2 linked regions of the Canis lupus familiaris genome follow. The protein of the gene in region 2 interacts with the protein of the main gene of each other region in a pairwise test. Links are inferred from orthologs where the notes say so. Each region holds a gene or a part of one and is shown on either strand. Other genes may lie near its edges. The genes, in order: NQO2 and LRRC7.

Region 1 (3,803 bases), on a different chromosome or scaffold from region 2:
AAGCAGGGCTCCATCTGGGCCCTGCCTCCCCCTGGGATTAGGGTCTGTTTTCCCTACGTTGTTGAGGTGTTCCATCTCAGTGGGCCTGGAGGAGGAAGCAGAGCTGTGTATCCGTAGCTGGTGCCTGCTGAAGTAGGGTTAGCAGGAGAGATTAGTTGTGGTGACTTTCAATTTTGGTGTTCGTCCACAGAGCAAAAACCTCTGATGGGGAAGACCCACAATAGCTTGGGCTTTTAAGGAAATTCGTGGTGTTATTTTTGAGGAATCATAATTTGACTCATTTTATGTTTGTATATTAGTAAACCCAGGCGATGGTGAGCTATAATTGGATTTTAGAAAACATTCATTATTTTAAAAACTATCACCCATAAAAGAGGTTGGTGTTTCTCAGCTTGAGCCTATGATGCGCCTACATGTTTCATTGTTACCTTAGTCTTCGTGGAATTTTGACAAAGAGGAATTGTTCTTTAAGAGAGTCATTTCTTTTCTGATTCAGGCAAAAAAGTCCTCATTGTCTATGCACACCAAGAACCCAAGTCTTTCAATGGATCCTTGAAGAAAGTGGCGGTGGATGAGCTCAGCAGGCAGGGCTGCGCCATCACCGTTTCCGATCTGTATGCCATGGACTTTGAGCCGAGGGCCACGAGGAAAGATGTCATAGGTGAGTCACGGGGTGAACAGTTTTTGTTTTTTTAACTTTCTTCTTTCTAGGTGTTTCATGGAAAAAAATGTTTTGAAAAAACTAACCATGGTGCATAGTACCCAGTTCTGAAGCAGAACGAGTCCACATGGCAAGTCTTTTTCGCATCCCTGTCCCCAGCCACCCAGTGTCTGCCCCCCAGGTCACCAGGGTGCTCACTTGTCTCTGTTCCTCCAGAGACATCTGTGCTGTGCAAAGCATTTGTGGGCATATCCATCCATCGTCTGTCCCCTTTGTTTGTTCAGAGTGGTAGCAGGCTTTACAGGTTGTTTTGCACATTGCAGCCGTTTTTACTATCAGAGTATTCATTTTGTGGAAGTGTCCTAGGTGAGGTGGCCCCTACTGACGGACATTCCAGGGCATTCCTGATCTTTGCTGTCACAAACAGCGCCGCAAGGAAGAATCATAGCCACACACATTTTCCTACGTATACAGATGTCACCTAGAGGTGGAATTGCTGCCAGAGGGAAGGTGCATTCTTGATTTTCATAGATAATATCAAATGGTAAATGTGCCAGTTTACACTTGGCACCAGCGATGTTCGCAAGTGCTCATTTCCTCTGCATTACCGATTTTTGATCATTGCCAGACTGTCAAGTGAAAACTGGTCTCCCAGGATAGTTTTGATTTGCCTTCCTCTTATTGTAAGAGAGCTATACTGCCTTTGTGTTTATGTAAGACGCATTTTCTTTGTTTTCCAGCTGCATTGAGACATAATTGACAAAAGTTATATATATTTAAGGTATACGACATAATGGGGTTTTTTGGGGTTTTTTTCTTTTTTTTGATTACTAGTTTCGGAGGTAGAGTTTAGTGATCCATCGATTGCATACAACACCCAGTGCTCATTACATCACGTGCCCTCCTTCATGCCCATCACCCAGGTACCCCATCCCCCACCTACCTCCCCTCCAGCGACCCTCAGTCTGTTTCCTTCTTCTGGTTTGTTTCCTTCTCTGTTTTTACCTTATTTTATTTTTCCTTCCCTTCCCTTATGTTCATCTGTTTTGTTTCTTAAATTCTACATAGTGCTATCATATGGTATCTTTCTCTGACTGACTTCTTTCACTCAGCATAATACTCTCTAGCTCCATCCGCATTGTTGCAAATGGCAAGATTTCATTCTTTTTGATGTCTGGGTAATATTCCTTACACCACATCTTCTTTATCCAGTCATCTGTTGATGGACATCTGGGCTCTTGCAATAGTTTGGGTATTGTGGACATTGCTGCTATAAACATTGGGGTGCAGGTGCCCCTTTGGATCATTATATCTGTATCTTTGGGGTAAATAACCACTTGCACAATTGCTGGGACGTAGGGCAGCTCTATTTTTAACTCTTTGAGGAACCTCCACACTGTTCTCCAGAGTGGCTGCACCAGCTTGCATTCCCAGCAACAGGGTGAGAGGGTTCCCCTTTCTCTTCCAATGTCTGTTATTTCCTGTCTTGTTAACTTTAGCCATTCTCCCTGGTGTGAGGTGGGATCTCATTGTGGTTTTGATTTGTATTTCCCTGATGCCCAGTGATGTGGAGCATTTTCTCATGTGTCTGTTGGCCGCCTGGATGTTGTTGGAGAAATGTCTGTTCATGTCTTCTGCCCGTTTCTTGACTGGATTTTTTACATGATGTTTTGAAGGCATTTTCTTAAGTATTCTTTTTGAAAAGCTAAATGCTTTTAGCTTTTCATTTATATTAATATTTTGTATTATACTTATAAATATTTATATTAGTATTTTAATAAAATATTTAATATTTTCTTTCCTGGGAATTGTCTGTGTATATCCCTTGTTTATTCTTCTCTTCTATCTCTTACTGGTTTTAAAGAGCTCTTTCTATATTAAAAAGTTAGTTTCTAGTGTGGGGTATGAATTGTGAATACATTTTTACCAAATTTATGTTTTCTTTTATTTTGACTTTGCTTATGGTGTTTGTTTGTTTTTTTTTCCATGCAGGATTTTATTTACCTAGTTGGCTTTTGATCAGTCTTTTTCTTCCATGACTTCTAGATTTTGTGTCACGCTTATCTACATTCTAAGATTTTTTTAATTTGATAGTTTTGCCTAGTATTTGACCTATTTCAAATATGACAAATTTCAAAGTATTGATAGTTTTGCCTAGTTTTTGACATATTCAATATGACAAATTTCAAAATATTTTAAAAAAATATTTTGTCTACTTAAAGTTTATTTTGGTATATGATGTGAGGTATGATTCCAGTATTTTTTCTAAGCATCTACTGAGTTGTCTCGTCACCATTTATTATATGATCCAGCTTCTCATTTAAAATGCCACCTTCATTGTGATTTAAATTCTCAGGTACATTTGATCCTGTCCTATACTTTGTATTTTGTTGTTGTTGTTGTTGTTTTTCCTATTGGCTCATGGATTCAGTACCACGTGGCTCTAATTATTTTGGCAAATGCTACAATATCTGATAGAACTAGGTCACCTAGTTTGCCTTATTTTCTATTTTTTCTAGCTAGTTTTACTTTACTTTTCTATAAAATCTTTTGAATTAACTTCCCAGATTCAAAAAGTAACCAGATGATATTTTTATTGAGATTCCATTAAATTTACAGATGAATTTTTATTATAGTGATCTTATCCAGGAGAATAGTATGGCTTTTCATTTGCTCACATCTTCTTTTACAACCCTGCAGCTCTCTTTACAAGTTTTCTTCATGCAGATCTTGCATGATTTTTGTTAATTGGTTTTGTTTCTCTAAGTCAAGAGGATTACTGTTTGCCTGTGTGCATATGTGTGTGTGTGTGTGCGCGCTCGCGCATGTGTGTGTATCCAGCCATGACTAATTTCCTCACCGTTCGTAGTAGATTTCAGCTGATTCTCTGGGGCTTTCCTGATAATGCAGCCAAATCATCTGCAAATAATGACAATTTCGCCTCAGCTTTTCCAGTATTTAATACCTTTAATTTCCTTCTGTTTGCAATTGTAGTAATGCTATCTGAAGATTTAATATTTAGTATTGATAGTAATAGCTTAACATCCCATGTCTTCGTGTCTTTCTTTTGTTTTAATAAATCAATCAACAATTTTCACTTAATGAACAACAGAGGGCAGCCCCGGTGGCGCAGCGGTTTAGT
Region 2 (4,370 bases):
AGCAGTGCTAAAATTCTGAATAAAACGTGGCTACGGTAACGGGACCGGGCTTATTTCTTTAAGGAGTCGTTTCTAATTCTGAAGCCGCATATGTGCAGGCACACGTGATGGAGGATGTAAGGGTTGCCATGGTAAGCACCCATCCTCTCTTGGACAGCGAAGTATAAAAAAATGTATAAAGAAGTCTCCCTCCACAATATGTCACGGGGATGGGCTGCGCTTCCCAGCGCCACGCAGACACGATGCAGGCCCGCCCCGGGCGAGACTTCAGCCCACGGGGGCGGCAAGTACAACACGGGCGGAAAAACGAAATCAGCGGCCTCCAGGTGGGGGGCCCCCAGATCGGGGCCTCCAGGTCAGGGGGGCGGGCATCCAGGTCAGGGCCTCCAGGTGGGGGCCTCCAGGTGGGGGCCACCACGTCGGGGACTCCAGGTGGGGGCCTCCAGGTGGGGACCTCCCAGTGAGGGCCTTCAAGTGGGGGCCACCACGGCGGGGACTCCAGGTCAGGACCTCCATGTGGGGGCCTCCAGGGGACCTCAAGGTGGGGAACCTCCCAGTGAGGGCCTCCAGGTGGGGGGCCTCCAGGTGGCAACCTCCAGGTGGGGAACCTCCCAGTGAGGGCCTCCAGGTGGGGGCCACCACGTCGGGGACTCCAGGTCAGGACCTCCATGTGGGGGCCTCCATGTGGGGGCCTCCAGGGGACCTCCAGGTGGGGAACCTCCCAGTAAGGGCCTCCAGGTGGGGAGCTTCCAGGTGGGGACCTCCAGGTGGGGACCTCCAAGTGAGGGCCTCCAGGTGGGGGGCCTCCAGGTGGCGACCTCCAGGTGGGGACCTCCAAGTGAGGGCCTCCAGGTGGGGAGCCTCCAGGTGGCAACCTCCAGGTGGGGAACCTCCCAGTGAGGGCCTCCAGGTGGGGGGCCACCACGTCGGAGACTCCAGGTCGGGGCCTCCAGGTCTGGTACCTCGACACACAGGTGGGCGGAGAACTAGGGCTACCCCCCCGCCCCCTCGTCTCCAGCCCGCCCCGGGCGCTGAAGGATGCGCCGAAGGATGCTCGGAAGCAGGGACGCGACCCCGACCCCCGTCTGCAGCCTTTGGCAGAGCGAGCCCGGGCGTCCCGGGCGGTGGGGGCAGGTGGCCGGGCGCGGCCGGCAGGTGGCGGAGCGCGCCGGGAGCCCACGTGCGCAGGGGCTGCAGAACTTTTCCGCCGCGTCCCCGGGAGGACCGCCTGGCTTCCACCGGGGCCCCGCGGGGGGGCAGCCCCTCCAGCCCCCCTGGGCCGCGGGCCCGAGCTGCGGGGGGCGGGCGCGGGGCTCAGCCCGGAACAAAGAGAGTCGGGCGCCCGGACCGGCCTCTCCCGTCGGGGCGATCACGTGTCCTGCCTCCGCCGGAATGCGCTCCCGCCGCCCACGCCACGGAAACCTCCACCGGGCTTGGAAGCGTCGCCAAGGTTAAAACGGGATCACGTAGAACCGCTCCCGGCCGCGGGTCCCCGGGTCGGGTCCGACCCAGTTCGCAGCGCAGGTGGCTCCCAGGTGCTCCCCGCGCGGAGGCAAAGTGGCCGCGGAGGGCAGGTGCGGGCCCTTGGGGGTCGCCGCCCCGCCCCCCGCCCCCGCCCGCGGCGTCTCTAACTCCTCGGGGAGGGGAACTTCCAGAGGCGCGTGGGAGTCGCAGGTGGCTGCGCTCCGAGGCCCATCGCGCATCCCGGGACTTGCGCGAGCGACCCGGTCCGTGCGCCGGGCGCTGCGCCCTCGGGACTCGGCGGGCGGAGCCGCCCCCCCCGCCCCCCGCCCCCCGCCCCGGGCCGAGGAGCAGCCGGAGGAGGCACCTGTGCGGCCGTCGCCCCTGCGAACTCGCGCTATGTTTCGCGGCAGCCCGTGCGCCCCCGGCCCCGGCCGCTCCCCGCAGGGGGGACCCCGCGCGCGGAGGCTGCAGACGAGCGCGAGCCGCTCCAGGAGCCCCAGGGCACCTCCTGCCCCCGCTGCCCCCCCCCCGGCCGCCGAGGATCCCCAACGAGTCCCGCATCCCTCGGGGCTCTCGGGGGACGAGATGCGGAGGGGGCCCAGCGTGGGTCCGGGCACCGCGCGGGGTCTCCAGCTCCGCCTTTGCAACACAAAGGAGGTGTGTGGGCAGGAGCTGCCCGGCTCCGGGGGCTGGGGGGGGGCACAGGCACCCCCACTGCCCGGGCTCCGTGGCTCCCCCGCTTCCTCGGCCCTCCAACCTGTCGCCCTCGTCGCCCCCTCCAGCCCCCTCCAACCCCACCCTTCCCCTCCAGTCCCAAAGGCAGCGAGATCCTCTTAATTGCCTTTCCCAAGCCAACGGGCATCCAACAGTAATACTACACCTGCCGAGATAAAGGGACATTTGCGACCTGCCACAAGTGTGCGTGGGGGGGGGGGGGGCACGGCCAAATGGGCGCTCCGTCCCTCGGGCACCTGCGAGGAGGCAGCACCTCGCCCGGATAACGGCGGGGGCTCGGCCCGGCCGGACCCGCGCTCCCCGCGCCCCCCGCGCCCCCCGCGCCCAGCCCTCGCTCCTCGCCTCCCCTTTTCGCAGTATGTAACCCTTTAGGGTCCCCGGCAGCCCGGGCCACCGGGGCTCCCAGGCGCCCGCACGGCCGGCGCCCGCGCCCAAGGCACCGCGCGCCCCGCAAGCGCGCAGCTCCCCGCCGCCTCCGCGGGCGCCCGGCCGGCAGCTCCCCGACAGCGCCCCGGGGCGCCCCAGCCCCGCACCTCGGGCGCTCGGCGTCCCCGCAGCCCCCCGCCCCCCCCCCCCGGGCCACGAAGCAGGAGCGCGCTACTCACATCGCCGGCGGGAGCCACTGCCCATGAGGTTGGCGAGAGCGAGTCGTGCCGCCGCCCGGGCTGGTTGCTGAGGGTGCTCGGGGTCCGCAGCGCCGCGGGCGCGGGGGCCTGGCGCGGGGGCCTGCGCGGGGGGCGCGGGCCGGCCGAGGCGCGGGGGCGCGTCACGCCATGGTGCCGGGGCCCTCCGGGCGCAGCGGGCAGGTCCGGGGAACGCGGCCGAGGGGAGCCCCGAGCGCCGGCGGGCGGGGAGGCTCGAGCGCCTCGGCTGCCCTGCCTCCGCCCGCCCTGCGCGCCGCGCGAGCGACCACGGCGGCGGCGGCGGCGGCGGCGCGGCTCCCTCCCCGCCCCCAGGAGCGCGGCGCACAATGAGCCGGGCCGGGCCGGGCTGGGCGGGCGGAGCGCCCCGGTGCGCAGCCTGCGGCCCCCGGGGAGCCCGGCGCTGGGGCGCTGCGGGGCGCTGCGGGGCGCTGCGGGGCGCTGCGGGGCGCGGGCGGCGGCAGGTGGCCCCGGCGCGCAGGTGCGGGGCTCGCGGGCGCGGAGGGCGGCGCGGGCCGCGGGCTGAGCCTCCGCTGCCCCCGCCCCCGCGCTCCTCGCCCGCCCCCTCTTCCGACGACACCCGCCGCAGCCGCCGCCGAGCGGGAGAGGCGTCAAGGAGAGCGCGGCCACCCGAGGGGGCGCCCCGGTCCTCCGCCCCCGGCCCGCGCCGCCGTCCTCGCCGGCCCCCGCGACCTGCCCGCGGGCTCCCCCGAAGCCTCGGGGCTCCGATGCGAGTCCGCCGGGGCCCCGACCCGCGCCCGCCCGCGCGCTCCGGCCCGAGCCGCCGCTGCGAGCGGGACAAAGGGCCGGGCCGTGCGGGCTCCTCCCGCCGCCCGCGGCGCGCGGGGCCGGTGCTCCGGGGGCGGGGGCGGGGGCGGGGTGGGGGTGGGGGCGGCCCGCGGCGCTCCGGCCCCCGCTGCTGCTCCCGCCGCCGGCCCGGGCCCCAGGGGCGCGGCGACCCGCGGCTGGGCGGATGCGCGGCTGCGCGGCTGCGGCGGCTCCGGGCCTCGGCGCCTCCCCGCGCGCCCCGGCTCCCGCGCCGGCTCCCGCTCCCGCTCCCGCGCCGGCTCCCGCTCCCGCCCCGGCTCGGTGACGCGGCGGCCGGGCGGCGGCTCCCGCTCGCTCCGCGCAGAGGCGGCCCCCAGCGCCGCCCGGGCTTCCCGCCCCCGCCCCCGCCCCCGCCCCCGCCCCCGCCCCCGCCGCGGGTGCCGGGCCGCCGAGGACGCGAGTGTCCTCCCTCGGAGCGGCCCCCCCGCGAGCCCCCCTGCGCCCCCCCCGCACCTACCCTGCAGCCCCCGCACCTGCCCTGCGCCCCCTGTGCCCCCCTGCACCTCCCTTGCAGCCCCTGCACCTCACCTGCACCCCCCTGCACCTCCCCCCTGCACCTCTCTGCACCTCCCTTGCACCCCTTGCACCTCCCCTGTGCCCCCTGCACCTCCTGCACTCCCCTGCACCCCTGCACCTCCCCTGCACCCCCCCTGCAGCCCCCTGCACCTCCCCCCTGCACCCCCTGCCCCGCCCCGCCCGGGG

What was found.
Region 1: the proteins of LRRC7 (region 2) and NQO2 interact in a two-hybrid assay, tested with the Homo sapiens proteins (2 studies listed by BioGRID). The two-hybrid records come from large-scale screens. The link is inferred for Canis lupus familiaris from reciprocal best matches to the Homo sapiens genes LRRC7 and NQO2.

Annotation. Positions count from the first base shown.
Region 1 is NC_049256.1:4,586,818-4,590,620, forward strand, and holds part of NQO2 (ribosyldihydronicotinamide dehydrogenase [quinone]), read left to right. Parts: intron 1-496; coding exon 497-661; intron 662-3,803. UniProt on the Homo sapiens protein: The enzyme apparently serves as a quinone reductase in connection with conjugation reactions of hydroquinones involved in detoxification pathways as well as in biosynthetic processes such as the vitamin K-dependent gamma-carboxylation of glutamate residues in prothrombin synthesis.
Region 2 is NC_049227.1:76,610,010-76,614,379, forward strand, and holds the start of LRRC7 (leucine-rich repeat-containing protein 7), read right to left. Parts: upstream 2,912-4,370; 5' UTR 2,807-2,911; coding exon 2,805-2,806; intron 1-2,804.